Linked DNA regions of Anolis sagrei. The protein of the gene in region 2 interacts with the protein of the main gene of each other region in a pairwise test. Links are inferred from orthologs where the notes say so. Each region holds a gene or a part of one and is shown on either strand. Other genes may lie near its edges.

Region 1 (7,709 bases), on a different chromosome or scaffold from region 2:
TCGCCATGCCATTGATGATCAGGAACACTAGCTCCATAGCTGAGGTGAAAAGGAAGAGACGCTGCAAGGAGGAAGACGAAGCAGATTGTAGACTGGAGTGAGTTGTGCTGATTCCCAAAAGACAGGTGAACAGAGTCCTATCTTTGATAGTTTTTAATGAAAAGAAATCCTTTGGCAATGAATTCGAAAATGTCAGGAGCCCAGAGAAGACCTTTATATCCTTGGTATAATCTAGTTTTTATTTCAGGAGATGCTCCAGAAGGTGTCAGGCATCCATGCTGCTTGAAGTTTTGATCCTTTATTCGTGACGTAACAGGAATGAATACTTTGGATAGCTAAAACGGTGAGTCCCAGGCCTTTTTTTGCTGCTGATCTTGCCATTCCCAAGAGCCACAGCAGTCACTAAAGAGAAAAGGAAGTGAGTTAAGTAGCTGTTTGTGGACTGGAGTAAGTGGCACTGGTTATCAAAGGCAGGTGAATGGAGTCCTTTCTATCTTAGCTATGGAAAGCCCCTTGTTCTTTTTACAAGAAATCCTTTGGAGATGAATACAGGGAGCATACAACTCCCATGTTACACCAGCTCCACTGGCTGTCAGTTTGCTACTGGGCACAGTTCAAAGTGCTGGCTTTGGCCTATAAAGCCCTAAACGGCCCTGGTCCAAATTACCTGTCCGAACGCATCTCCCCCTATGAATCATCACAGAGATTAAGATCCTCCGGGGAGGCCCTGCTTTCCGTCCCGCCATTGTCAGAGGCATGATTGGTGGGGACACGAGACATGGCCTTCTCGGTGATTTCTCCCCAGCTATGGAACTCCCTTCCTGGTGAGATCATGAAGAAGCAAAGCAGACACAGCGTCATGCTCTGAACTTCCAGACCTAGGTATCATACTATTACTGGATAAGGTTTAGGGTAAGGTTAAGGGTTAGGGTTTGGGTAAGGATTATGGTAAGGGGTTTAGCTTAGGGTAAGGTTTAGGGGTTAGGTTCACGGTAAGGGTTAGGGTTCGGGTAAGAGTTTTACCGTTACATTCCTTCTATAATATCTGTCTCAGTGACATGTTCTGTCCACGTTGCACAAACAGCGCTCCCAAAGGAGCGACGCGGACACAGTGTAATGCGCCGAGCTTCCAGACCAAGCTATCATACTATTACCTAAAGGCACTCTGTACAGTCATGCTGGCCACATGACCTTGGATGTGTCTACGGACAATGCTGGTTCTTAGAAATGGAGATGAGCACCAACCCCCAGAGTGGGCCATGACTGGACTTAATGTCAGGGAAAACCCTTCCCTTTACCTATTTGCTCTCACTTTTGGCAAAAACTGTAAGGCTGAAAGGCCTGTGACTAACTCTCTGCCCCTGAGTGTGGTGGAGGCTCCTTCTTTGGAAGCTTTTAAACAGAGGCTGGATGGCCATCTGTCAGGAGTGCTTTGAATGCAATATTCCTGCTTCTTGGCAAGGGGTTGGACTGTATGGCCCATGAGGTCTCTTCCAACTCTAGGATTCTGTTCTGCGTTGCACAAACAGCGCTCCTGAAGGAGCGAAGCGGACACAGTGTAATGCGCCAAGCTTCCAGATCCAGCTATCATACTATTACCTAACAGCATTCCATACCGTCTGGCCACATCAACTTGGAGGTGTCTACAGACAATGCTGGTTCTTCGGCTTATATATATTTATATTATATTTACTTCATTTGTATACCGCTCTTCTCAGCCCTTAGGCAACTCAAAGCAGTTAACAACCAATTCAATATACACAATACAAAATCATTAGACATCTAAAAGCAGTAGCATAACAATTAATTAACCCCAACATCAACATCAATACATCAGTACATCAACATAACTAATCCATCACGTCTCATCAATAGAATCAGAATCCGATCTCGTTGTCCATTGTTCCATGTTTCAATAATTGATCAATTGCACTGCTTAGTTGAATGCCTGTTCGAAGAGCCAGGTCTTCACTCTTCTCCGGAACGTCAGTAGGGAGGGGGCCGATCTAATATCTGTTGGAAGGTTGTTCCACAGCCGAGGGGCCACCACTGAGAAGGCCCTGTCTCTCGTCCCCGCCAGACATGCTTGTGAAGCCGGCGGGATTGAGAGCAGGGCCTCCCCAGACGATCTTAATGTCCTAGCTGGGAGATGCGTTCGGACAGGTAGGTCGGGCCAGAACCGTTTAGGGCTTTAAAGGCTAAAGCTAGAACTTTGAATTGTGCCCGGTAGCAAATTGGCAGCCAGTGGAGCTGGCGCAACAGAGGAGTTGTATGCTCCCTGAGTGCCGCTCCTGTTAGCATCCTAGCTGCCGATCGTTGGACCATTTGAAGATTCCAAGCAATCTTCAGAGGCAACCCCACATAGAGAGCATTGCAGTAGTCTATACGAGATGTAACCAGAGCGTGGACTACCGTGGCCAAGTCAGACTTCCCAAGGTATGGGCGCAGCTGGCGCACAAGTTTTAATTGTGCGAATGCTCCCCTGGTCACTGCTGAAACCTAGGGCTGAGAGATGGAGATGAGCACCAACTCCCAGAGTGGGCCATGACTGGACTTAATGTCAGGGAAAACCTTTCTTTTTACCTATTTGCTCTCACTTTTGGCCAAAACAATAAAGCTGAACTGCCTGTGAGTTCCTGGCGAGGCTTGATGGAAGAAGCAAGCCTGGGCATGTCCCTTGGGAGCCTGAAGGAGGCCTCGGGGTCCCTAATTAACGCTTCCAATGAGTTCATTTGGGGTGTGGGGGAGGGGACAGTCCCTCAGGCCTCCCCTTCCCCCAAGAGGGACCTCTTTAAGGTCAGTTGGAGCCAGAAAAGCAAGGGAAAGGGGGCTTCCCCTCCCACCCCCTTCCCCTTCCCCACAAACAAGGCCTTGGCCCACCTCGCCCGCTTCCCTCTGAGGCGAAGAACTTGGACTAACCCCCTCGACGGCGAAGCTCTTCCCTCCTCGCTCATGGGCGCCGACATCTTGGTAGGCGGGGTCGCGCCCTTCCCCGCCCTCCAATCAGCGTCGGGGAATTCCAATTCACCCTCCCTCCTAGTCAGGTAAGGAGGAGGCACGTCCTCCAATCAGAATCGGGGAATCCTGTAGGCGGGACTCGCGTCGCCTCCTCATCCAATGAGCATCGGGAATCCCCGTAGGCGGGGCTTTCGTAATTTGTTGATTCCCGCTTTCATCCAATCAGCATCGGGGAATCCTGGAGGCGGGGCGTCCTTCAAACTCGACTTGTTATTCGTTCGCTTCTTGTCGCTGGCAAGGTTGTTTTCCTTTGGTTTTGTTTCCGTCCTCTGATTGGCCGGTTTTGAAAAAGGCTCGTGGGCGGTTGCCTTGGCACCGAGGGTGGGCGGGGTTGATTGGAAACCCCGCCCACTACTGAGTCCTCATAGACTCGAAAGGTTTGACCGTTAGAGCCGTTAGTCGGTCACGTGATTATGAGTGGGCGGGGCCTCCGTTCTGTCTCATTTTCTACACATAAATAATAATAATAATAATAATAATAATAATAATATAATTAAACAAAAAATTACTTAAACAAAATTAAATTAAAATCCAGCATATACATCTCGTTTGCTGTGTCATAATGTGGTTTTGTGTCAGTAAAAATAATTAAAATAATAATAATAAAGACTAATAATAAAGAATAATACTAATAAATAATAGAATAATAAAATAAAGCAAATAATATTACTTCTAATAAATAATCCTAATAATATATAATTAATATAATTAAGAATAATATTAATACTAATTAATAATAAAATATAATACTAATATAATGATAAACTATAACAATAGTAAATAATAATATTACTAATTATATATAATTAAAGTAATACTATAATTAATAATAATAAATAAAAATAAAATATAATGCATAATAATACTAATACAATAATAATAATAATAGTAAATAATATTAAGAATAAGTAATCTTAATAAACAATAATATATATAAAATTAATAAAAATTAATAAATAATATAATTAAGAATAATAAATATGTATACTAATTAATAATGAAATATAATTCATAAGAATACTAATAAATATTAAGAATAAGTAATCTTAATAAATAATAATATATACAATTAATAAATAATAATATAATATAATTAAGAATAATAAATATGTATACTAATTAATAATGAAATATAATTCATAAGAATACTAATAAATATTATTAAGAATAAGTAATCTTAATAAATAATAATATATAAAAGTAATAAATAATAATATAATATAATTAAGAATAATAAATATGGAGACTAATTAATAATGAAATATAATTCATAAGAATACTAATAATGGAATAATAATAAAATATAATAATACTAAATAATAATATTACTACTAATTATATATAATTAAAATAAATACTATAATTATTAATAATAAATAAAAATACAAATTAATAATAAAATATAATGCATAAAATACTTAGAATAATAATAAAATATAATAATAGTAAATAATATTAAGAATAAATAATCTTAATAAACAATAATATATATAAAATTAATAAAAATAAATAATAATATAATTAAGGAGAATAAATATGGATACTAATTAGTAATGAAATATAATTCATAAGAATACTAAGAATAATAATAAAATATAATAATAGTAAATAATAATATTAAGAATAAGTAATCTTAATAAACAATAATATATATAAAATTAATAAAAATTAATAATAATAGAATTAAAATTAATAAATATAGATACTAATTAATAAAAAATATAATTCATAAAGATAGCAATAATAGAATAATAATAAAATATAATAATAGTAAATAATAAATCTTAATAAACAATAATATATATAAAATTTATAAAATAAATAAATAATAATATAATTAAGAATAATAAATATGTATACTAATTAATAATGAAATATAATTCATAAGAATACTAATAACTGAATAATAATAAAATGTAATAATAGTAAATAATATTCCTAATAAGTAAGAATACTAATAAATAATAATAATAATAAATACAAAAATAATAGAATAATAATAAAATATAGTAATAGTAAGTATTACTAAAAATAATTAAGAATACAAATAAAAATATAAATAATAATACAATAATAAAATGAATACTAAATAATAAAATATAAATAATAATATGTTCTTCATTCGTTCAGTCGTCTCCGACCTCATGGACCAGCCCACGCCAGAGCTCCTTGTCAGCCGTCACCACCCCCAGCTCCTTCAAGGTCAGTCAAGTCACTTCAAGGATGACATCCATCCATCTTGCCCTTGGTCGGCCCCTCTTCCTTTTGCCTTCCACTTTCCCCAGCATAATTGTCTTCTCTAGGCTTTCCTGTCTCCTCATGATGTGGCCAAAGGACTTCAACTTTGTCTCTAGTCTCCTTCCCTCCAGTGAGCAGACGGGCTTTATTTCCTGGAGGATGGACTGGTTGGATCTTCTCGCAGTCCAAGGCACTCTCAGAACTTTCCTCCAACACCACAGCTCAAAAGCATCGATCTTCCTTCGCTCAGCCTTCCCTAAGGTCCAGCTCTCACATCCGTAGGTGACTACAGGGAATACCATGGCTTTGACTAGGCAATGGATCTTTGTTGCCAGTCTGATGTCTCTGCTCTTTACTATTTTATCGAGACTGGACATTGCTCTCCTTCCAAGAAGGAAGTGTCTCCTGATTTCCTGGCCACAGTCTGCATCTGCAGTCATCTTTGCGCCTAGAAATACAAAGTCTGTCACGGCCTCCACATTTTCTCCCTCTATTTTCCAGTTGTCAATCATTCATGTGGCCATAATCTTGGGTTTTTTTGATGTTTACCTGCAACCCAGCTTTTACGCTTTCTTCTTTCACCTTGATTAGAAGGCTCCTCAGCTCCTCCTCGCTTTTGGCCATCAGAGTGGTGTCATCTGCATATCTGAGTTTGTTGGTGTTTCTTCCAGCCATTTTCACCCCAGCTTTGCATTCATCCAGCCCCGCACATCCTCGCATGATGTGTTCTGCATACAAGTTGAAAAGGTTGGGTGAGAGTATGCAGCCTTGCCGTAATATACTGTAATATAAATACTAAAAATATAATAGTACAACAAAAATATTACTAATAATTAGTAATACTAATAATAAATTATATTACTCTTAATAAAATAGAATTAATAATAATAATAATAAATCAGAATACTGATAAATAATAATACATTATTTATTACTTTTATTATTTTTTATTATTATAAATTGTATTTATTTCCCGCCTCTCCAGGTAACTCCAGGATGAACCCGTTTTGGGATGAAAGTTTACAATGGTGCACTCTGCCCTCTTTGCATGCACATCCGTGAGGCCGAAACACCTATATCTCCTATTTACCTCCCATAGAGATCCCTCTGAGATACGCCTGAGTCTGGAATTGAGGTGGTATGTTTTTGTTAAATGTCTGTTTTGGCAGATACATTCATAAACCGTGTTCTGACGCGTCTTCCGTTAAACCCGCAGGGCGATTCGATCAAAGAGCGCAAAGGTCTCCTTTACGGGAGGAAAACTACAACTTCTGGTCCGGGAAGAATCCAAACATGTTCAAGGCTGAGTTGTAAAAAGGCACAACAAGAGCAATATATTGGTTTATGCTTTGCATCTATAACTTCTTCATCTTCCTTGTTTGTTTCTTGTTCTCCACTTGTTCTTATCAGTCGCGTCTCTCGTTGTGAGTCTTGCTTGGGCCATGTTCCGTTTCAAGCGGTCGAACCAGCGCATTTTAGGTCTGCCACGTGGCCTGGCACCTGCAACTTCCATATTCTGCAAGGTTTTGGCCTCGTCCCTTTGTTGCACATGTCCAAACCATCTCAGGTGGGATTCCTTCATCTTCTCACCAAACAGATCAACTCCAAAGATGGAGCGCATTGTATCATTCGGAATCCTGTACTTCAGGGTAACACCCGTTGACCATCCGAGCATCTGCATTGCCACAGTGTGCAGAACTTACTTGACAGCCTTCGTGGTCGGCCAGCACTCAGTGGCGTATAGAGTGACCAGTCTCACCACAATCCTGTAGATTTTCAACTTTAGATGAATTGGGATCTTCTTATCCCACATTACGTCTGTCGTTCCTCTCCACTTCATGTGACATTTGCATGTCCGTGGCATCTGCCAGTATGTCACCAGCAGAAGTGATCTTTGAGCTGAGGTATTTAAAGCTGGTCACATTGTTGAAGCCAATGCCATCGATATTGATGGAGCCATTCTCTATCATTGGTCCACATTCCATAGAATCATAGAATCAAAAAGTTGGAAGAGACCTCGTGGGCCATCCAGTCCAAACCCCTGCCAAGAAGCAGGAATAATCCTAGTCTCCAGGGAAGCAGAAAACCAGCTTGCTCCCTCCTCCCTAGGACTTCCTCTCACATATTTATACATGGCTATCATATCTCCTCTCAGCCTTCTTTTCTTCAGGCTAAACATGCCCAGCTCCTTAAGCCGCTCCTCATAGAGATCCAGGAGAACCAACAAGGACACACTTCCTCCATCTAGCTCTCTGAGTAGGTCATCCACCAAGGCGACCAAAGCTGTCTCTGTTTCATAGCCAGGCCTGAAACCAGATTGAAATGGCTGTAGATAATCCATATCATCCCAAAATCCTTGGAGTTGGGAGACCACCACATGCTCCAAGACCTGACTCAGGAGGAGGAGGTTGGACACTGGGAAGTATAGGTGATCAACAGCAATCTCGTATCTT
Region 2 (7,051 bases):
AAATGGGTCTGTGCTAGTTGGCACTGACAGTTGGATTAGGCCAAATGTCACCATCTGCTACATGGCCTAGATCCCAGGTCTTATCACACATGGGCTTATTTTCCTTCCAATTTACCACACACGCCTTAAAGATCATGCAAAGGTTTTGTTTTTTGTTTTTTCTTCTTCTGTATGTTGAAAGGCACAGGTTGACTGCCCCTTATCTGAAATACTTGGGACTGGAAGTGTTTTGGCACAGGTTGACTGCCCTTATCTGAAATACTTGGGACTGGAAGTGTTTTGAATTTCCGGTATCTGTATTTGCATACATTTACATAATGCCAAATCCTGGAAATGGAACTGATGTCTAAACCTGAAATTCATTGTTTCATATATAGATAGCCTGAAGGCAATTTTAACTCAAACGGATGCAGTTTGACACTACTCTAACTGCTATGGTTCAATGCTAAGGAATCATGAGAATTGTAGTTTATAATTGCCTTTAGCCTCTGTCAAAGTGTATTGATGACTTACCAAACACGCAGAATTCCATAGTATTGAATAAATCATGTTAAATTGGTGTCAACCTGCATTAAATTTACAGTAGATCAGGCATGGGCCAACTTGGGCCTTCCCTCCAGGGTTTTGGACTTCAACTCCCACAATTCCTAACAGCCTACTGGCTCATGCCTGATTTACACAGTAGAATGCATGCAGTTTAGCACCACTTTTAAATGCCAGGTCTCGATGCTATGGAATTCTGGGAGTTGTAGTTTAGTCCTCTGTCAAATAGCACTGATGCCTCACCAGGCTACATACAGACAGCTCTACAGCATTGAGTCATGGCAGTTAAAGTAGTATCAAACAATCCTACAATGTACTATGGACATACTTCTCCTTATGAACTATCTGGGACATTAAGATCTTCCTCACAGATGCCTTTGGTAGGGACGAGAGACAGGGCCTTCTCAGTGGTGGCCTCTCAGCTGCAGAACGCCCTTCCCAGGGATATAAGATCGCCCCCCTCCCTTCTGACTTTTTGAAGAAAGGTTAAAACCTGGCGTTTTGAAAAGGCCTTCGCTATTCCAGCATAATTATACGAAACCATGGAATGACCTGACGATGCAATTGAATAATGATTTTGACAAGGAGACACTCACAATGATGTTTTTTATGGCTTTGTACGGTTTTTTAAATATTTTATGCTAAATGTTTTTAACAGTATTTTATGATTGTTTTACTTGTTTATAATTATTGAGGCATCAAATGCTGCCAGCTGTGAACCGCCCAGAGTCGCCTCCGGGCTGAGAAGGGCGGTATACCAATATGGTAAATAAATACTTCTTCATCACACTAGAGAGAAAAAATCCACTTAAAATCCGGTTTCTGCCTCCTGCAGAATTCTGGGGTTTGTATTTTAGTGATGCTCCTCGTGTTCTTTTTTTTCTGCATTTTCCTGCATTTCATGATGTTCATTTTTTCTGCATTTCAGAAAAAAATGAAATGTAAAGATACAGAATGGAGGACGTGTGGCTCGAGAGCAGTACATGTTAAAAAGATCTCGGGGTCTTCATGAACAAGTTAAACATGAGCCAACAATGTGATGCGGCGGCAAAAAAACCAACGAGATTTTGGCCTGCATCAATAAGAGTATAGTGTCTAGATGCAGGGAAATCATGCTACCCCTCTATTCTGCCTTGGTTAGACCACAGCTGGAATATTGTGTCCAATTCAGGGCACCACAATTGAAGAGAGATATTGACAAGCTGGAATGTGTCTGGAGGAGGGCGACTAAAATGATCAAGGGTCTGGAGAACAAGCCCTATGAGGAGTGGCTTAAAGAGCTGAGCATGTTTAGCCTGAAGAAGAGAAGGCTGAGAGGAGACATGATAGCCATGTATAAATATGTCAGAAGAAGTCATAGGGAAGAGGGAGCAAGTTTGTTTTCTGCTACCCTGGGGTCTAGGGCGCAGAAAAAAGGCTTCAAACTACAAGAAAGGAGATTCCATCTGAACATTAGGAAGAACTTCCTGGCTGTGAGAGCTGTTCAGCAGTGGAACTCTGCCCCGGAGTGTGGTGGAGGCTCCTTCTTTAGAAGCTTTTAAACTGGGGCTGGATAGCTATCTGTCGGGGGTGCTTTGAATGCAATTTTCCTGCTTCTTGGCAGGGGGTTGGCCTGGATGGCCCATGAGGTCTCTTCCAACTCTATGATTCTAACCCCAGAGTTCTACAGGAGGCAGAAACTGGATTTTAAGTGGATTTTTTCGCTAGTGTGATGAGGCCCACCTTGAGCATCGCTTTGACAGGCACACAGCTCCGTATATATTTTTAGGAAGGAGCAGAGAAAAGCAAAGGAGGCAGTAGTGTCAATTAAGTAATAGTAGGTGCAACTCGTAGGGATGAGGGAAGCAGGTGCAACTCGTGGGGACGAGGGAGAGGGCATTTTCTGTGGTGGCCTCTCGACTCTGGAACTCGCTCCCCAAAGATATTAGGCAAGCCCCCTCATTGGCAGTCTTTAGGAGCTTGTTCCAATATGCCTTCCCTGAATGAAAGATTAATAATACCCTGATCTGACCAATTCTCTGCAAAATGTCCTCTGAAGCACTTTATTCTACTTTTTGGGGCAATTGACCCCACCCTACCCTCTAAAACCCGTTCAGACTCATTTCACTGCTGTCACACCCAGTGTTTTAAATTTTTAGTAGAATTGGCCCTGCCCACAGTGCTGGATCATTGTTTTTTTAAATGTTGTGTTTTATTGCTGATATGTTATTTATAATGGTTTTGTATTGTATTGTATTTTTTATTGCTGTGTTTGTTTATAGTGATTTATTGTATTGTCGGGCTTGGCCCCATGTAAGCCGGCCCAAGGCCCCTTGGGGAGATGGTGGCGGGGTATAAATAAAGTTTTATTATTTTACTGACACAAAAGCACAGTATGTCACAGCAAACGAGATCTATATGCTGGATTTCGTATCAAAAATCACAAGTTGAACACTTCCCAAGCGTCTAGGACTGTGTGATGTATTTTTGAATGATGCACACACATCCAAGTAAGGTGGCCTTTTGCAGTTGACAGATTGTGATTTTGTCGATGTTTATTGTTTCCAAATGCCGGCTGAGATCTTTTGGCACGGCACCCAGTGCGCCAATGACCATTGGGACCACTTTTATTGGTTTATGCCAGAGCCTTTGCGATTCGATTTTGAGGTCTTGATAACGGCTGAGTTTTTCCTGTTGTTTTTCCTCAATGCGGCTGTCACACGGTATGTCAACCGCTAGGCCTGTAGCCAGGATTTCGTTTGGGGGGGGGGGCTGAATTTTTTTCAGGGGGCGTTTCGGGGGGGGGTGAGTTTCGGGGGGGCTGAGTCTGAGTGAAAGAGGGTCTAGCCTAGCAAACCTTTTGTATCATTACCCCAATACCCTCATGCATATGGGATATATTGAGTATGGTGATCAGACCATAATATGAATAAACATAACTGTTTAAATAATGCACCAGTAAGGCCTTTTCGCGAACCACTGTGAGAATTTCGGGGGGGGGGGGGAGTTGAAGCCCTTCAAGCCCCCCCCCCTCCCCCTCCCCCTCCCCCGGCTACATGCCTGTCAACCTCAATAATCCAGACTTTTTTCTTTTCCACAATCGTGATGTCTGGTGGATTGTGTTCCAAAACTTTGTCAGTCTGGATTCAAGAATCCCACAGTATTTTTGCATGTTCATTTTCCACGACCTTATGATCCCACCAATTCTTTACTGCTGGCAGGTGGTACTTGTGACATAAGTTCCAGTGAATCATCTGGGCCACAGAGTTGTGCCTTTGTTTGTAGTCCGTCTGTGCAATTTTCTTGCCACAGCTGAGGATAAGGTCCATGGTTTCACCAGCTTCCTTGCACAGTCTGCTTTATTATTATTGTTGTTGTAGTAGAAGAAGAAAAAGTTCATTGTAAGGAAAATAAAAGCGGCGTGAAGTCACAATGGCCAGGTTTCCCATTGGAACCTTCTACCTGGAGCCTTCCGCGGCAGCTCTCCCATGCGCATGCGCGGCTTCCCGGGGAATGGCCGGAGGGCCCACGTGACCAGGCCGGGGAAAGGTGGGGGCCGGCAGTGGAGGGAGCCGGCGCTCTTGCCGCCTCCTCCTCCTCCTCCGCCGCCGCCGCTCTGCGTCTCTCTCGCTCTCTCTCTCTCTCTGAGCTTGCCTCTCTTGTGGGCCCGTCCGGCGGCGCAGAGAGGGGAGGGGGCGGGGAGGCGGATCCATCATGGCGTCTATGCAGGTGAGCAGCCTCCGGCGTCTCTTTCGTCCCCAGGTGGCCCTTTGGCGTTGGGAGGGAACGGCGTGTGTGAGGGGAACTTCGCCTGGCAGGAGAAACCATCCCCATCACCCCCCCTCCTCCCATTCGTGGTCCCGTCCTCCTCGAGTCGGATGAGGCGGACGATCCCACTTTGCCCTGCTTGAGGGGGGGAAGAGACATCGCTTAAAGAACCCCCTTTAGTCTCCTCTCCCCCCCCCTCCATCTTTTCCTTTTTGGTCTCTTCCTCCTTCAAGCGAATGAGGCGGACGGTCCCACTCTCCCCTTCTTTGGGGGTGGCTCTCTCCAGGTGGAGCGGGGAGAACAGGTGCTGCCTTTGGGAAGGGCCTTCTGGGCTGTGACAGATCCCTTCCTCGCCTCTCCTTCGCTGTGGGCGTTTTCTCCACACTGGAGTAGCCAACGTCGGGCTTTTAGGAAAGGAGGAAAAAGTGAGAGTTTGGGTCGAAAGGACGAGGCGGAAGCGGGCTCACTCCCAAGCCAGGAAGTGTGGAAAGTCATCTCGGCGTCCTTCTCCTCCCATTCTTTCAATACATTAGTCATGGTGTTGTATATGTTCTGAGAGTAGGAGTGGCCCAGCACTGCCAGGGACCAACCTTTTGGGCTTGGATTTGTTCTTACCTGCTGCCTACTGGTCTTCTAGTGCTTTTAAGGCCTTTGAGGTGACAATATTTAGTCAACAATGGCTTCTTAAACCATTTAAGGCAGGCATGGGCAAACTTGGACCCTCCAGGTGTTTTGGACTTCAACTCCTACCATTCCTAACAGCTTCAGACCCTTTCCTTTCTCCCCTCAGCCGCTTAAGTTACAAACATCCAACTTATTATATTATATTATTGACAATATTGGTCAACAATGGCTTCTTAAACCATTTAAGGCAGGCATGCGCAAACTTGGGCCTTCCCAAGTATTTTGGACTTCAGTTCCCACCATTCCTAACAGCTTCAGGCCCTTTCCTTTTCCCCTTCAGCCACTTATTATATTGTTGACAGTATTGGTCAACAATGGCTTCTTAAACCATTTAAGGCAGGCATGGGCAAACTTGGACACTCCAGGCGTTTTGGACTTCAATTCCCACCATTCCTAACAGCCTCAAGCCCTTTCCTTTCCCCCCTCAGCCGCTTATTATATTATATTGTTGACAATATTGGTCAACAATGGCTTCTTAACCCATTTAAGGCAGGCATGGGCAAACTTGGGCCCTCCAAATATTTTGGATTTCAACTCCCACTATTCCTAACAGCCTCAGGCCCTTTCCTTTTCCCCCTCAGCCACTTATTATATGTATTATATTGTTGACCATATTGGTCAACAATGGCTTCTTAACCCATTTAAGACAGGCATGGGCAAACTTGGGCCCTCCAAATATTTTGGATTTCAACTCCCACCATTCCTAACAGCCTCAGGCCCTTTCCTTTCCCCCCTCAGCCACTTATTATATTATATTGTTGACAATATTGGTCAACAATGGCTTCTTAAACCATTTAAGGCAGTCATGGGCAAACTTGGGCCCTCCAAGTATTTTGAACTTCAACTCCCACCATTCCTAACAGCCTCAGGCCCTTTCCTTTTCCCCCTCAGCCACTTATTATATTATATTGTTGACACTATTGGTCAACAATGGCTTCTTAAACCATTTAAAGCAGGCTTGGGCAAACTTGGGCCTTCCAGGTGTTTTGGACTTCAACTCCCACCATTCCTAACAGCTTCAGGCCCTTTCCTTTCCCCCCTCAGCTGCTTATTATATTATATTGTTGACAGTATTGGTCAACAATGGCTTCTTAAACCATTTAAGGCAGTCATGGGCAAACTTGGACCCTCCAGGCATTTTGGACTTCAACTCCCACCATTCCTAACAGCCTCAGGCCCTTTCCTTTCCCCCCTCAGCCGCTTATTATATTATATTGTTGACAGTATTGGTTAACAATGGCTTCTTAAACCATTTAAGGCAGGCATGGGCTAACTTGGGCCCTCCAAGTATTTTGGGCTTAAACTCCCACCATTCCTAGCAGCCTCAGGCCCCTTCCTTTTCCCCTCAGCTGCTTAAGTTACAAACATCCAACTTACAAATGACTCATAGTTAAGAACAGGGGTGAGACAAGAGGAAGTGAGAGAAAACTACCCCTTGGAAGGAAAATTCACTCCAGAAAGAGTTATGATGAGGAAAAGGTGCCTCCACTGAAGTTTTACCACCAATCCTTGTTTCCACAAAAGCCAAATTTTTCAAAATCCGATTATCACAAGGACAGAAAGTGAGGTGAAATCTTCTGAACAGGGGCACAGAAAGTGAAATAAACACCACAGGGTGTTTACCCTTCACTAAGCTACCCAAAGCGCGCGCCCCTCTCTATATATGATCGAATCCTAGAGTTGGAAGAGACCTCATGGGCCATCCAGTCCAACCCCCTACCAAGAAGTAGGAAAATCTCATTCAAAGCACCCCTGACAGATGGCCATCAAGCCTCTGCTTAAAAGCCTCCAAAGAAGGAGCCTTCACCACACTCCAGGGCAGAGAGCCCCACTACTAAACATCTCTCACAGTCAGGAAGTTCTTCCTAATGTCAGGTGGAATCTCCTTTCCTTAGTTTGAAGCCATTGTTCCACATCCTGGTCTCCAGGGCAGCAGTAAACAAGATATAGATATATAGAGAGGGAGAAAGAGAGAGCTGGAGATACACTTAAAAATGAACCTTTTCCAACTTACATACAAATTCAACTTAAGAAAAAACATACAGAACCTATCTTGTTCGTAACTTGGGGACTGCCT
Region 3 (7,364 bases), on a different chromosome or scaffold from region 2:
GATTTATAGTTCACCTATAATCAAAGAGCATTCTGAACTCCATCAATGATGGAATTGAACCAAACTTGGCAAATAGAACTCTCATGACCAACAGAAAACATTAGAAGGGTTTGGTGGGCACTGACCTTGAGTTTTGGAGTTGTAGTTCACCCATATCTAGAGAGCACTGTGGACTCAAATAATGATGGATCTGGACCAAACTTGGCACGAATACTCCATATGCCAAAATATAAACACAGATGAAGTTTGGGAGAAATAGACCTTGACATTTGGGATTAGTAGTTGCTGGGATTTATAGTTCACCTACAATCAAAGAGCATTCTGAACTCCACCAACTACTGCATTGGGGCAAACTTCCCACACAGAACTCCCAAGACCAACAGAAAATATTTAAGGCCATCCAGTCCAACTTCCTTTACCAGGGCAAGAAAAAATAATCAAAGCCCTCCTGACAAAGAGCCATCCATTCATAGATATAGAGAGATATATATGACTCACACACACACACAAATATAGTATCATAGATTTGAAAGGAACCTCTAAAGAAGGACAATTATATGTTGAATGTTCCAGAGGAGACAAACAGACAATCTCCACATCAACACTGACAAAGAAACAGCAAGAAATACTGTTTACCCAACAAGCATAAAGAAATTACATATATTAGAAACCAACACTTCCTCATTACTTTATTTACCAGATCAACAAACTGGGCCACAGCAACGCATGCAGGGGACAGCTAGCATATATTGTTGTTGTTCATTCATTCAGTTGTCCCCGACTCTTCGTGACCTCATGGACCAGCCCACGCCAGAGCTCCCTGTCAGCCGTCACCACCCCCAGCTCCTTCAAGGTCAGTCCAGTCACTTCAAGGATGCCATCCATCCATCTTGCCCTTGGTCGGCCCCTCTTCCTTTTACCTTACACTTTCCCCAGCATAATTGTCTTCTCCAGACTTTGCTGTCTCCTCATGATGTGGCCAAAGTACTTCAACTTTGTCTCTAGTATCCTTCCCTCCAATGAGCAGCCGGGCTTTATTTCCTGGAAGATGGACTGGTTGGATCTTTTCGCTGTCCAAGGCACTCTCAGAACTTTACTCCAACACCACAGTTCAAAAGCATCTATCTTCCTTCGCTCAGCCTTCCCTAAGGTCCAGCTCTCATATCCGTAGGTTACTACAGGGAATACCATGGCTTTGACTATGCGGATCTTTGTTGCCAGTGTGATCCTGGACTCACCGCTGAGCCTGGAACCCCAGGTCTCGGCGGTGGCCGGGAGAGCTTTTGTGCAATTAAAACTTGTGCACCAGTTGCGCCCATACCTTGGGAAGTCTGATCTGGCCACGGTGATCCACGCTCTTGTTACATCCCGAATAGACTACTGCAACGCTCTCTACGTGGGGTTGCCCTTGAAGACTGTTCGGAAACTTCAACTAGTCCAGCGAGCGGCAGCCAGACTGCTCACCGGAGCGACATACAGGGAGCATACCACCCCCATCCTGTGTCAGCTCCACTGGCTGCCGGTCCAGTTCCGAGCACAATTCAAGGTCCTGGTTTTGACCTACAAAACCCTGTACGGTTCCGGTCCAGTGTATCTGTCCGAACGTATCTCCCTCTACGTCCAACCCCGGAGTCTGAGATCATCTGGGGAGGCCCTGCTCTCGACACCACCACTGTCACAAGTGAGTCTGGTGGGGATGAGGAGCAGGGCTTTCTCAGTGGTGGCCCCTCACCTGTGGAACTCACTCCCGGGGGAAATCAGGGCATCATCATCCCTCCTCTCCTTCAGGAGGAGGGTGAAGACGTGGTTATGGGACCAGGCCTTTGGGCAATCTGGCAATTAAATAAGACAATCAGGCGAGTAAGACCAACAGGATTGACGAAGTGGAACTGAAAATTAGAACTATGAGTTAGCGAACACTGACCATGTAGGAGAAGGAATTGGGTTTGTATTGCTTTTATTGATTTTATTGGTATAATGCATGAATTGTTGTTAACTGTGAATTGATGTAATTTTGTGTTTTGATTGTTCTGTGATGCAGGCATCAAATTGTGCCTTTGCTTTTGTAAGCCGCCCTGAGTCCCCTTCGGGGGTGAGAAGGGCGGGGTAAAAGAACCCCGAAATAAATAAAAAAAATGTCTCTACTCTTCACTATTTTATCGAGATTGGACATTGCTCTCCTCCCAAGAAGTAAGCGTCTTCTGATTTCCTGGCCACAGTCTGCATCTGCAGCAATCTTTGCGCCTAGAAATACAAAGTCTGTCACGGCCTCCACATTTTCTTCCTCTATTTTCCATATATATATATATATAAGCTAGCATATATATATATATATATATATATATATATATGAATCTCACTTGCCTACTTTCCAACAGACTTCACGACCTCTGAAGATACCTGCCATAGATGGCACTACCAGGCCATCAAATGCTAATCAAGGTGGTCAGTTGAAACATTCACACCTAGCTCCAATAGACAAGAGTTCTTTGTCCCACCCTGGTCATTTCACAGATATATAAATCCATTTTCCTAGTTCCAACAGACCTCACTACCTCTGAGGATGCTTGCCATAGATGCAGGCGAAACGTCAGGAGAGAATGCTTCTGGAGCATGGCCATACAGCCCGGAAAACTCACAACATCCTGGTTGGGTAGATTATTGAGGGAATCTCCAACCTTCCAGTCAGCAAGATTTCTTAATTGTGTCCCCAAAGGCTCCAGTCGTCCCGGTGTCTATGGCGCCCACCCTCCTCCTCCTCCACCACCACCACCAAGGCCGCCTCTCCCCCTTCGCTTTATTACCTGTCCAGGCTCTGCGGCATCACCAAGCCCGTCTGTTCCGACATCCTGAGGTGGCGAGGGGAGAGGGGGACAAGGCCCCAACCGCCGGCGCGAGGAGGGAGACACAAGGTGAGCACGGGGGCCCCTCGAAAATAACACCCGAGGAGGAGGACGACGCAGGGCCTAAGAGGGAGCCACTGCGCATGCGCCGGCGCTTACCTCACAGAGGGACGGACTCCCCGCGGCGCCTCGGGTCCCGACTTCTCCTCCTCCCTCATTCACTCACTCCAGCGAGGTACCGCCCCCCTCCCTCTCTCCCGAGGCACTATGGGAAATGTAGTTCCCGTCGCGAGTGTGCCCTGAGGGGATTTAAATCCCCCTCCCCTCTTCCCTCCTCCTGCTCTCGCGCTTCACCGTTGGGCTGTTCCGTTCAGCCGCCACCCCCCCCTCCCCTCCCCTGCGCGAGACGGCTTTGTTTATGTGTCTTTAATGGGAGGAGGAGGAGGAGGCGGCGAGATGGCCACGCGCGCTGAGGGAAAGGTCAGCCCCCTGGGCCGCTGTCACTTTGGGGGAGGGGAGGGGAGGGAAGGGGGTAGTTCGTTCCTCACTCGTTCCTTGTCGTTACTGTGAGGGGCGGGAAAGGAGGGTGGGGGCCTCGTAGGCAGCCCTTCTTTGGCACCCTCAAGCAGGAGGCGAGGGTGAGGCGCTCCTGGAGGGTTGCTAGATATAGCTGTTGTTCTCTAGATTGATTATTTATTTATTATTTATTTAGATTTATTTAGATTGATATTATTATTGATATTATTATTTATTTAGATTGATACCCTGCTTTCTGTCTTCTTCATTCCATTCTCATTCTCTTTGCTTGGACTCCACTTTCTCTCCTTTTCATTTCATTATTATATTCATTATTTGCATTATTATATTATTATATTTATTTATTTGGGGCGCTTCTACCCCACCCTTCTCAACCCCCTAGGGGGGACTCAGGGCGGCTTACAAAAGGCACAATTCGATGCCCAACAATTCACAAAATACAATACAATATACAATACACAAATTTGCCATATAATGTCAGTTATAACTAATTAAAACAATCAAACAGTATACTAGCAGCAATAAAAACATCTTGTGGTCAATGTTCACCAAATCCAAGTCCGTAAACCATCTATCATCGTCATTGTCCTTTCCTACTCTGGTCATTATTGGTTGTCTTTGTCCATCTGCCAGCTTACCTGAAGGCCTGGTCCCACATCCAGGTTTTTAGCTTCCTTCTGAAGGAGAGAAGGGATGTTGATGTCCTAATTTCCCCAGGGAGCGCATTCCACAGGCGAGGAGCCACCACCGAGAAGGCCCTGTCCAGGCCCGTAGCCAGGATTTCGTTTGGGGGGGGGGCTGAGTCTGAGTGAAAGAGGGTCTAGCCTAGCAAACCTTTTGTATCATTACCCCAATACCCCCATGCATATGGGATATATTGAGTATGGTGATAAGATCATGATATGAATAAACATAACAGTTTAAATAATGCACCAGTAAGGCCTTTTCGCGAACCACCATGAGAATTTCGGGGGGGGGGGGGCTGAAGCCCCCCGAGCCCCCCCCCCCCCCGGCTACATGCCTGGCCCTGTCCCTCGTCCCCACCAGTCTTGCATGTGATAAAGGTGGGGCCGAGAGCAGAGCCCCCTCAGCAGATCTTAAACTCCGGGGTGGGACATAGAAGGAGATATGTTCGGACAGGTACACTGGGGCGGAGCCATATAGGGTTTTGTAAGTCTAAACCAGCACTTTGAATTGTGCTCGGAATTGGATCGGCAGCCAGCGGAGCTGACATAGGAGGTGGGTGGTATGCTCCATGTATGACACTCCGGTGAGTAATCTAGCCGCCGCCCATTGGACTAATTGAAGTTTCTGAACAGTCTTCAAAGGCAACCCCACGTAGAGCACGTTGCAGTAATCTATTCAGGATGTAACAAGACAATTATTAATTTAATTGTCATTATAATTATTTGGGCTCTTTCCCCCCTCCTTTTAATTCCACTATTATATTTATTATTTGTATTACTATTATATTTAGTATATGTATTATTATATTTATGACTAGCCGTCCCCCTGCCACGTGTTGCTGTGGCCCAGTTTATATATAATAATAATAATAATAATAATAATAATAATAATAATGTATTGTCGAAGGCTTTCATGACCAGAATCACTGGGCTGTTGTGGGTTTTTTCGGGCTATATGGCCATGTTCTAGAGGCATTCTCTCCTGACGTTTCACCTGCATCTATGGCAAGCATCCTCAGAGGTTGTGAGGTCTACACTGTGGTTTTTGAGTTATGCTAATCCCACAAACGAACATTACATTTTTAATTATATTGATTATTATTAATGCCATTGTCATTATATTTACTAGTACTCCAAATCCCCTCTTTTAAAGTCCATTATTATATTTATTATTTGCATTATTATTATTATTATTATTATATTAATTTAATTGTCATATTTATTTGGACTCTTCATTCACTCCTTTTATTTCTATTATTATATTTATTATTTGTATTAGTATTGTATTCAGTATATGTATTATTAATGCCATTGTCATTATACTTGCAAGTACTCCAAATTCTCTCTTTTAAAGTCCATTATCATATTTATTATTTGCATTATAATTATATTACTATTATTATTAATTTAATTGTCATTATATTTATTTGGACTCTTCTTTTTCTCCTTTCAATTCTATTATTATTATTATTATTATTATTATTATTATTATATTTGTTTACTCCACTTTCCCTCCTTTTAATTCTATTATTAGCTATATTATTTATATTTTTATTATTATATTTATTATTAATTCTATTATCATATTTATTTGGACTCTTCTTTTATTCCTTTTGATTATATTATTATTATTATTATTATTTGAAACAGAATAAGATGAGTCCACAGCAGACAAGATCACTCTGCTGGTTGTTGCATTGGATCACGCACCGGACACTTCCCAATTGTCTAGGACTGTGTGATGTATTGGCAAATAATGTGTGCAGATCCCAGTAAGGTGGCCTTCTGCAGCTGACAGATGGTAATTTTGTCAGCGCCGATTGTGTTTAAGTGCAGACCAAAATCTTTAGGCACTGCACCCAGTGTGCCGATCATATTACTATTACTATTACTATTATTATTATTATTATTATTATTATTATTTGTTCTCCGCTTTCCCTTCTTTTAATTCCATTATTATTTTTACGTTTATTTCTACTCTGCTTTCCCTCCTTTTCATTGCATTATTATTGTTAGTATTATATTTATTACTACTACTACTACTACTATTAGTACTAGTAGTACTGCCCTTTATCTCTTCTTAATTCCATTATTATCATATTTATTTATTTAGTTTGCTTTCCAACCCAAAATTGGGACTCACTACAGTGGAGATTTATGGTCTCTGAGGAGCCCTCTCTCCTCCCTTTCCTAACTTCCGCACTGTTACATATATGCCTGCCTGCCTTCCTTCCTATCATTATTATTATCTTTATCATTACTATTACCTCCTTTGCCCCTCCCACAAACTGGGACTCAATTATTTCACTGTAGTGGTTATCTCACTGTAGTGGTTATCTCACTGTAGTGGATATTTATGGTAGGTGGAGATCCTTCTTCCCACCCTTTCCTGCCAAAAAGTACACCCGATGATGATGATGATGATGATGATGATGATGATGATGATGATGATGATATATTTCATTCATCCCCAAATTGGGACTCAAAACAACTGTCTCTTTGTAGTGGAGGTTTATAGTCACTGAAGATCCTTCTCCTTTCTCTTTTCTGCCTCCACTGCTGGTACAGATATACCTCTTTTTCATATTTATTATTATATTTATACCCCACGTTCACCCCCTAAATTAGGACTCATAGTGACTGTCTCACTATATCTGAGATTTATAGTCACCGAGGATCCTTCTCCATTCCCTTCCCTGTCTTCCATGCTGTTACAGGTGCACATTTTCTTAAATTCCATTATTACAGTCTTTGTCTCCTTCTCCATATCCTTCTCCCCTCCCCTACAAAAAATTGGGACTCATAGAGGGTGTTACACTACAGTGGAGATTTATGGTTGCTAAAAACCCTTCTTCCCTTCCTTGTCTGCCTTGTTACAGATGCACTTCTTTTTACATCTGTTATAATTATATTACTATATTTTTATTCTGCTTTCACCCAATTTGGGACTCAACAGTGGCCATCTCACTTGTAGTGGAGATGTATCATCACTGGAGATCCTTTTCCTCTCCCTTGCCTGTCTTCACACTGTTACAGGGGTGCCTCTCATTGTTGTTGATGATGTTGTTATTATCATTTTGCATTCCGCTTTCCTCCCAAAATTGTTACTTAAAGTAGCTATACCACTGTAGTGAAGATTAAAGGTCACTGGAGATACATCTCCCTTCTCTCCCCCCCCCCCCCCCTTTCTGCTGTTACAGGTGTGTCTCATTTTTTATTGATTTTTAGTATTAGATTTATTTATATCCCAGAAATTGGGAGTCAAAGAGTCTATCTCACTATTGTGGAGATTGATGGT
Region 4 (7,310 bases), on a different chromosome or scaffold from region 2:
GTTTGACGCCACTTTTGAAATAAGAGCATTGCATTCAGTCCAAATTGGGTGGAAAGCACTACCAGCTGTGAGACAAACCACTGCCTTTGTTCCTGGAAGGGCTTTGGTTGGAAAAAGAGAAGTTCTCAATTAACCGCAGAAGGAACAGAGGAAATATAACACGCCAAGACCCTGCCGAACTGCAACTCCCAGGATCCCATCGCATTGAGCCATTGCAATTAAACTGTATTCGTTTTGCAGTGCAAATGCACCCAAAAAGTACCCCAAAAAGGCCCTCCAATGATACCCTAAGAAGAGTGAGATTCTCTTAGGAGCAGATCAGGTTCTCCTTTAGGAAAATAATAAGTTGAAAGAAAAACCCAACGATTCCACTCATTGGAAGTTACAAAGAGCCGCAAGCCAAACCTACTATTGCCTTTGCCATTCCCAGCACGGAGACGAACCCAGCAGAGAAGGATCCAGCTTGAAGTTGCTGCAAAAAATGTGAATTTCTGCCTTCGGATGCATCATCCCAACCATTACGCTCCGACTGATTCACCCGTTTCACACCAGATTAAGCCCAATGTCAGATTTTCCCAGGGAAATATCATTGTGTCTTGGAATAGGAAGCGGCGTTAGTCTGAATCAGGCATTTTGATGGTGCATCTACACCAGGCATGAGCAAACTTGGGCCCTCCAGGTGTTTTGGACTACAACTCCCACCATTCCTAACCACCTCAGGCCCCCTCCTTTTCACCCTCAGCCGCTTAAGCGTTCAGTTCTAGCAAGTCGAAAGAAATTATTATATAGTAAATAGTTGAGTGTACTCAATGTTCAGTTCTACCAAGCCGAAAAAAATTATAATTATTATATAGAAAATAGTTGAGTGTACTCAACGCTCGGTTCTACCAAGCCGATAATAATAATAATAATAATAATTATTATTATTATTATTATTATTATATAGTAAATAGTTGAGTGCACTCATTGTTCAGTTCTACCAAGCTGATAATAATAATTATTATAATAATAATATAGTAAATAGATGAGTGCACTCAATGTTCAGTTCTACCAAGCCAATAATAATAATAATAATAATTATTATTATTATTATTTTAATATAGTAAATAGTTGAGTGCACTCAATGTTTGTTTATTTATTTACTTTATTTATATACCGCTTTTCTCAGCCCTCAGGTGACTCAAAGCAAATGTTCAGTTCTACCAAGCTGAAAATAATAATAATAATATAGTAAATAGTTTAGTGTACTCAAAGTTCAGTTCTACCAAGCCAATAATAATAATAATAATAATAATAATAATAGGCTTGGTAGAACTGAACTTTGAGTACACTAAACTATTTACTATATAATAATAATAATAATAATAATTATTATTATTATTATTATTATTATTATTATTATTTTCAGCTTGGTAGAACTGAACATTCGCTTTGAGTCACCTGAGGGCTGAGAAAAGCGGTATAGTAGTAAATAATTTGAGTGCACTCAATGTTCAGTTCTACCAAGCCAATAATAATAATAATAATAATAATTATTATTATTATTATTATTATTATATAATCAATAGTAGAGTGCACTCAATGTTCAGTTCTACCAAGCCAATAATAATAATAATAATAATAATAATAATAATAATAATAGGCTTGGTAGAACTGAACTTTGAGTACACTAAACTATTTACTATATAATAATAATAATTATTATTATTATTATTATTTTCAGCTTGGTAGAACTGAACATTGAGTGTACTCAGTTATTTACTATATAATAATTTTTTTTCTTGGCTTGGTAGAACTGGGGTGCACTCAGCTATTTACTATATAATAATAATAATAATAATAATAATTATTATTATTATTATTGGCTTGGTAGAACTGAACACTGAGTGCACTCAATTATTTACTACTATACTGCTTTTCTCAGCCCTCAGGTGACTCAAAGCGAATGTTCAGTTCTACCAAGCCGAAAATAATAATAATAATAATTATTATTATAATTATGTAGTAAATAGTTGAGTGCACTCCAGTTCTACCAAGCCAAGAAAAAAATTATTATATAGTAAATAACTGAGTACACTCAATGTTCAGTTTACCAAGCCAATAATAATAATAATAATATAATCAATAGTTGAGTGCACTCAATGTTCAGTTCTACCAAGCCAATAATAATAATAATAATAATTATTATTATTATTATTATTATTATATAATCAATAGTTGAGTGCACTCAATGTTCAGTTCTACCAAGCCGAGAAAAAAAAAGTAAATAACTGAGTGCACTCAATGTTCAGTTCTACCAAGTTGAAAGAAATTATTATTATATAGTAAATAGTTGAATGTACTCAATGTTCAGTTCTACCGAGCCAAAATAATAATAGTAATAGTAGTAATAATAATAGTAGTAGCCAGTTTATACAGTAAATAGTTCATTGCACTCAATGTTGAGTGCGACTCAACCAAAATAATTGTGGCGACAGGTGCCAGGCACTTATTAGACATAATAAAAGTGTTGCGTCTTCTTCTCGATGGCAAGGCATGGGCGCTTACCCAAAAGACATCCTTAAACTGCAGGTGTGCCATGACGAGGAAGGCAGTCCAAAACGGTGCCAAAGGCGTCCGAATAACAGGCACTTTGTTCCAAGCCGAAAAGGAAAATTTTCTTCTTCTTGACAAAGTGCAAAAACGGTTCCCTGGGAGGAAGTTTGTGGCGACGTTTATGTCTCCGAAGGGGGGAGCAGACGACACCCCAAAAGCCTCACCCGCGAGGTCTTCTTTTCCTCTTGCGTTCCACTTTTCGCTCCACCCCTCTTCTTTTCATTTCTGGCAAGCGACGAATATATATATATAATAACGCAATGAGGAAGCCGAAAGAGAAAAAAAAGTTGTCAGTATGCAAAGCAGAGGCTTTTGTGTTTTGTGGGTTACCTTTTAGAAAGTACAGAAAAAGAGAGACACACAACGACAAACGGTTGGAACAAAACCAAACTTGGATTTTGGACCAAAATCTTGGTCCTTGTGTTGTTTATATATTTTTGCCTATCTTATATATGTATATATATGTATGTATGTATATATTGCTAGGCCCAAATCATGTACACACAGGAAGCGGAGCTGCGGTCTTGCCGGCTCAGCGATTGCTGCAAGAACGGAAGGGTTTTCCAACCTCGAAACAGAGGAAATGCATCATTTTTTGCAAATGCACCGGGCTGACATTGAACTGAACATGAATGGAACGAGAAGGGAGCGCACTGCACCACCGGAATACTAATGTGAGCAAAGGCGCACAACAACTAGCACAATGGAGGCCTTGCTTTGGGAGGCCTCGGGCCAGAAATGTTGACATTCAGAGCATGGGATCCCAAGCAGGCTGCGGCCTCCAATGTCTTGGCTCGCTTGAAGCCGCGGGTGATGATGAGCAGTGAAGCTGCAATTCAACGTACATTAATGCGGGTTGATGCCACTTTGGACTGCCGTGGCACAAAGCTACAAAATCCTGGGAGTTGTCCTTGGGGGCCGCATTAACACTCTATCCCAGAGAAGATGAAAGCCCTTGCAAAACTACATCTCCCAGGATCTGACAGCATTGAGAGTGGGAGATGACAAAGGGTTTAATTCTAGTACAGATGGAAGAGGAGCAACAAGCCTCTGTGCTGCTGTCTCTCCTTCCTCCGTTTCCCTCATATACCTCTTCTTTCTTTCCTATCTCTTCCCTTCCTTCCTTCCTTCCTTCCTTCCTTCCTTCCTTCCTTCCTTCCTTCCTTCCTTCCTTCCTCCTTTCTCTTTCCTTCCTCCCCCTTTTTTCTTCCTTCCATCCCTTTTTCTTTCCTTTCTTCCTCCCTCCCTTCACCTCGTATACATATGTCGTATTTCTTTCCCGGTGACTTCACAGAGGGCCACTTCACCTAGCAACAGCTGATCCAGTGATCTCAGAGGGCCACACTAGCCATTCCAGTGGCCTCATAGAAGGTCACTCCACCTAGCAACAGCCGATCCAGTGGCCTCACAAAGGGCCGTTTCACCTATCAACAGCTGAACCAGTAGCCTCACAGAGGGCCACTCAAGCCGATGCAGTGGCATCACAGAGGGCAACTTCACCTAGCAACAGCTGATCCAGTAACCTCATGGAGGGCCACTCTAGCTGATCCAGTAGCCTCAAAAAGGACCACTTCACATAGCAACAGCTAATCCAGTGGCCTCACAGAGGGCTACTTCACTTAGCAATAGCTGATCCAATGGCCTCACAGAGGGCCACTCTAGCTGATGCAGTGGCCTCAAAAAGGGCCACTTCACCTAGCAACAGCTGATCCAGCGACCTCACAGAGGGCCACTTTACTTATCAACAGCCAATCCAGCAACCTCACAGAGGGCCACACTAGCTGATGCAGTGGCCTCCAAAAGGGCCACTTCACCTAGCAACAGCTAATCCAGTGGTTTCACAGAGGGTCACTCTGATGCAGTGGCCTCAAAAATGGCCACTTCACCTAGCAGCAGCCGATCCAACGACCTCACAGAGGGCCATTCTAGCCAATCCAGTGGCCTCACAGAGGACCACTTCACCTAGCAACAGCTGATCCAGTGGCCTCACAGAGGGCCACTCTAGCTGATGCAGTGGTCTCAAAAAGGGCCACTTCACCTAGTAACAGCCAATCCAATGACCTCATGGTGGGCCATTCTAGCTGATGCAGTGGCCTCAAAAAGGGCCACTTCACCTAGTAACAGCCAATCCAATGACCTCATGGTGGGCCATTCTAGCTGATGCAGTGGCCTCAAAAAGGGCCACTTCACCTAGTAACAGCCAATCCAATGACCTCATGGTGGGCCATTCTAGCTGATGCAGTGGCCTCAAAAAGGGCCACTTCACCTAGCAACAGCTGATCCAGTGGCCTCACAGAGGGCCACTCTAGCTGATGCAGTGGCCTCAAAAAGGGCCACTTCACCTAGCAACAGCCGATCTAGCGACCTCACGGAGGGCCACTCTGATGCAGTGGCCTCAAAAAGGGCCACTTCACCTAGTAACAGCCAATGACCTCACAGAGGGCCACTCTAGCTGATGCAGTGGCCTCAAAAAGGGCCACCATCTAGCAACAGCCGATCCAATGGCTTCAGAGGGCCCACTTCATCTAGCAACAGCTGATCCAACGACCTCATGGAGGGCCACTTTGATGCCGTGGCCTCAAAAAGGGCCACTTCACCTAGTAACAGCAATGACCTCACGGAGGGCCACTCTAGCTGATGCAGTGGCCTCAAAAAGGGCCACTTCACCTAGCAACAGCCAATACAGCGACCTCATGGAGGGCCACTCTGATGAAGTGGCCTCAAAAAGGGCCACTTCACCTAGTAACAGCCAATGACCTCACAGAGGGCCACTCTAGCCGATCCAGTGGCCTCACAGAGGACCACTTCACCTAGCAACAGCCGATCCAGCGACCTCACGGAGGGCCACTCTAGCTGATGCAGTGGCCTCAAAAAGGGCCACTTCACCTAGCAACAGCCCATCCAGCGACCTCACGGAGGGCCACTCTGATGCAGTGGCCTCAAAAAGGGCCACTTCACCTAGCAACAGCCCATCCAGCGACCTCACGGAGGGCCACTCTAATGCAGTGGCCTCAAAAAGGGCCACTTCACCTAGTAACAGCCAATGACCTCACGGAGGGCCACTCTAGCTGATGCAGTGGCCTCAAAAAGGGCCACTTCACCTAGCAACAGCCGATCCAGCGACCTCAGAGGGCCACACTAGCTGATGCAGTGGCCTCCAAAAGGGCCACTTCACCTAGCAACAGCCCATCCAGCGACCTCACGGAGGGCCACTCTAATGCAGTGGCCTCAAAAAGGGCCACTTCACCTAGCAACAGCTGATCCAGTGGCCTCACAGAGGGCCACTCTAGCTGATGCAGTGGCCTCAAAAAGGGCCACTTCACCTAGCAACAGCCGATCTAGCGACCTCACGGAGGGCCACTCTGATGCAGTGGCCTCAAAAAGGGCCACTTCACCTAGTAACAGCCAATGACCTCACAGAGGGCCACTCTAGCTGATGCAGTGGCCTCAAAAAGGGCCACCATCTAGCAACAGCCGATCCAATGGCTTCAGAGGGCCCACTTCATCTAGCAACAGCTGATCCAACGACCTCATGGAGGGCCACTTTGATGCCGTGGCCTCAAAAAGGGCCACTTCACCTAGTAACAGCAATGACCTCACGGAGGGCCACTCTAGCTGATGCAGTGGCCTCAAAAAGGGCCACTTCACCTAGCAACAGCCAATACAGCGACCTCATGGAGGGCCACTCTGATGAAGTGGCCTCAAAAAGGGCCACTTCACCTAGTAACAGCCAATGACCTCACAGAGGGCCACTCTAGCCGATCCAGTGGCCTCACAGAGGACCACTTCACCTAGCAACAGCCGATCCAGCGACCTCACGGAGGGCCACTCTAGCTGATGCAGTGGCCTCAAAAAGGGCCACTTCACCTAGCAACAGCCCATCCAGCGACCTCACGGAGGGCCACTCTGATGCAGTGGCCTCAAAAAGGGCCACTTCACCTAGCAACAGCCCATCCAGCGACCTCACGGAGGGCCACTCTAATGCAGTGGCCTCAAAAAGGGCCACTTCACCTAGTAACAGCCAATGACCTCACGGAGGGCCACTCTAGCTGATGCAGTGGCCTCAAAAAGGGCCACTTCACCTAGCAACAGCCGATCCAGCGACCTCAGAGGGCCACACTAGCTGATGCAGTGGCCTCCAAAAGGGCCACTTCACCTAGCAACAGCCCATCCAGCGACCTCACGGAGGGCCACTCTAATGCAGTGGCCTCAAAAAGGGCCACTTCACCTAGTAACAGCCAATGACCTCACGGAGGGCCACTCTAGCTGATGCAGTGGCCTCAAAAAGGGCCACTTCACCTAGCAACAGCCGATCCAGCGACCTCAGAGGGCCACACTAGCTGATGCAGTGGCCTCCAAAAGGGCCACTTCACCTAGCAACAGCCCATCCAGCGACCTCACGGAGGGCCACTCTGATGCAGTGGCCTCAAAAAGGGCCACTTCACTTAGCAACAGCCAATCCAACGACCTCACAGAGGGCCACTCTAGCCAATCCAGTGGCCTCACAGAGGACCACTTCACCTAGCAACAGCTGATCCAGTGGCCTCACAGAGGGCCACTCTAGCTGATGCAGTCGCCTCAAAAAGGGCCACTTCACCTAGCAACAGCCCATCCAGCGACCTCACGGAGGGCCACTCTGATGCAGTGGCCTCAAAAAGGGCCACTTCACCTAGTAACAGCCAATGACCTCACGGAGGGCCACTCTAGCCAATCCA

The links.
Region 1: the proteins of UBE2W (region 2) and RNF26 interact in a two-hybrid assay, tested with the Homo sapiens proteins (2 studies listed by BioGRID and IntAct). The link is inferred for Anolis sagrei from reciprocal best matches to the Homo sapiens genes UBE2W and RNF26.
Region 3: the proteins of UBE2W (region 2) and MARCHF5 interact in binary tests that used the Homo sapiens proteins (3 or more experiments, as listed by UniProt). The link is inferred for Anolis sagrei from reciprocal best matches to the Homo sapiens genes UBE2W and MARCHF5.
Region 4: the proteins of UBE2W (region 2) and PSTPIP1 interact in binary tests that used the Homo sapiens proteins (3 or more experiments, as listed by UniProt). The two-hybrid records come from large-scale screens. The link is inferred for Anolis sagrei from reciprocal best matches to the Homo sapiens genes UBE2W and PSTPIP1.

What each region holds. Positions count from the first base shown.
Region 1 is NC_090027.1:39,268,388-39,276,096, forward strand, and holds the start of RNF26 (E3 ubiquitin-protein ligase RNF26), read right to left. Parts: upstream 3,002-7,709; 5' UTR 2,881-3,001; intron 403-2,880; 5' UTR 38-402; coding exon 1-37. UniProt on the Homo sapiens protein: E3 ubiquitin-protein ligase that plays a key role in endosome organization by retaining vesicles in the perinuclear cloud.
Region 2 is NC_090024.1:42,444,608-42,451,658, forward strand, and holds the start of UBE2W (ubiquitin-conjugating enzyme E2 W), read left to right. Parts: upstream 1-4,038; 5' UTR 4,039-4,236; coding exon 4,237-4,251; intron 4,252-7,051. UniProt on the Homo sapiens protein: Accepts ubiquitin from the E1 complex and catalyzes its covalent attachment to other proteins.
Region 3 is NC_090023.1:187,038,633-187,045,996, forward strand, and holds the start of MARCHF5 (E3 ubiquitin-protein ligase MARCHF5), read right to left. Parts: upstream 3,007-7,364; 5' UTR 2,849-3,006; coding exon 2,805-2,848; intron 1-2,804. UniProt on the Homo sapiens protein: Mitochondrial E3 ubiquitin-protein ligase that plays a crucial role in the control of mitochondrial morphology by acting as a positive regulator of mitochondrial fission and as an important regulator of immune response.
Region 4 is NC_090029.1:10,961,225-10,968,534, forward strand, and holds the start of PSTPIP1 (proline-serine-threonine phosphatase-interacting protein 1), read right to left. Parts: upstream 3,008-7,310; 5' UTR 2,581-3,007; coding exon 2,548-2,580; intron 1-2,547. UniProt on the Homo sapiens protein: Involved in regulation of the actin cytoskeleton. May regulate WAS actin-bundling activity. Bridges the interaction between ABL1 and PTPN18 leading to ABL1 dephosphorylation.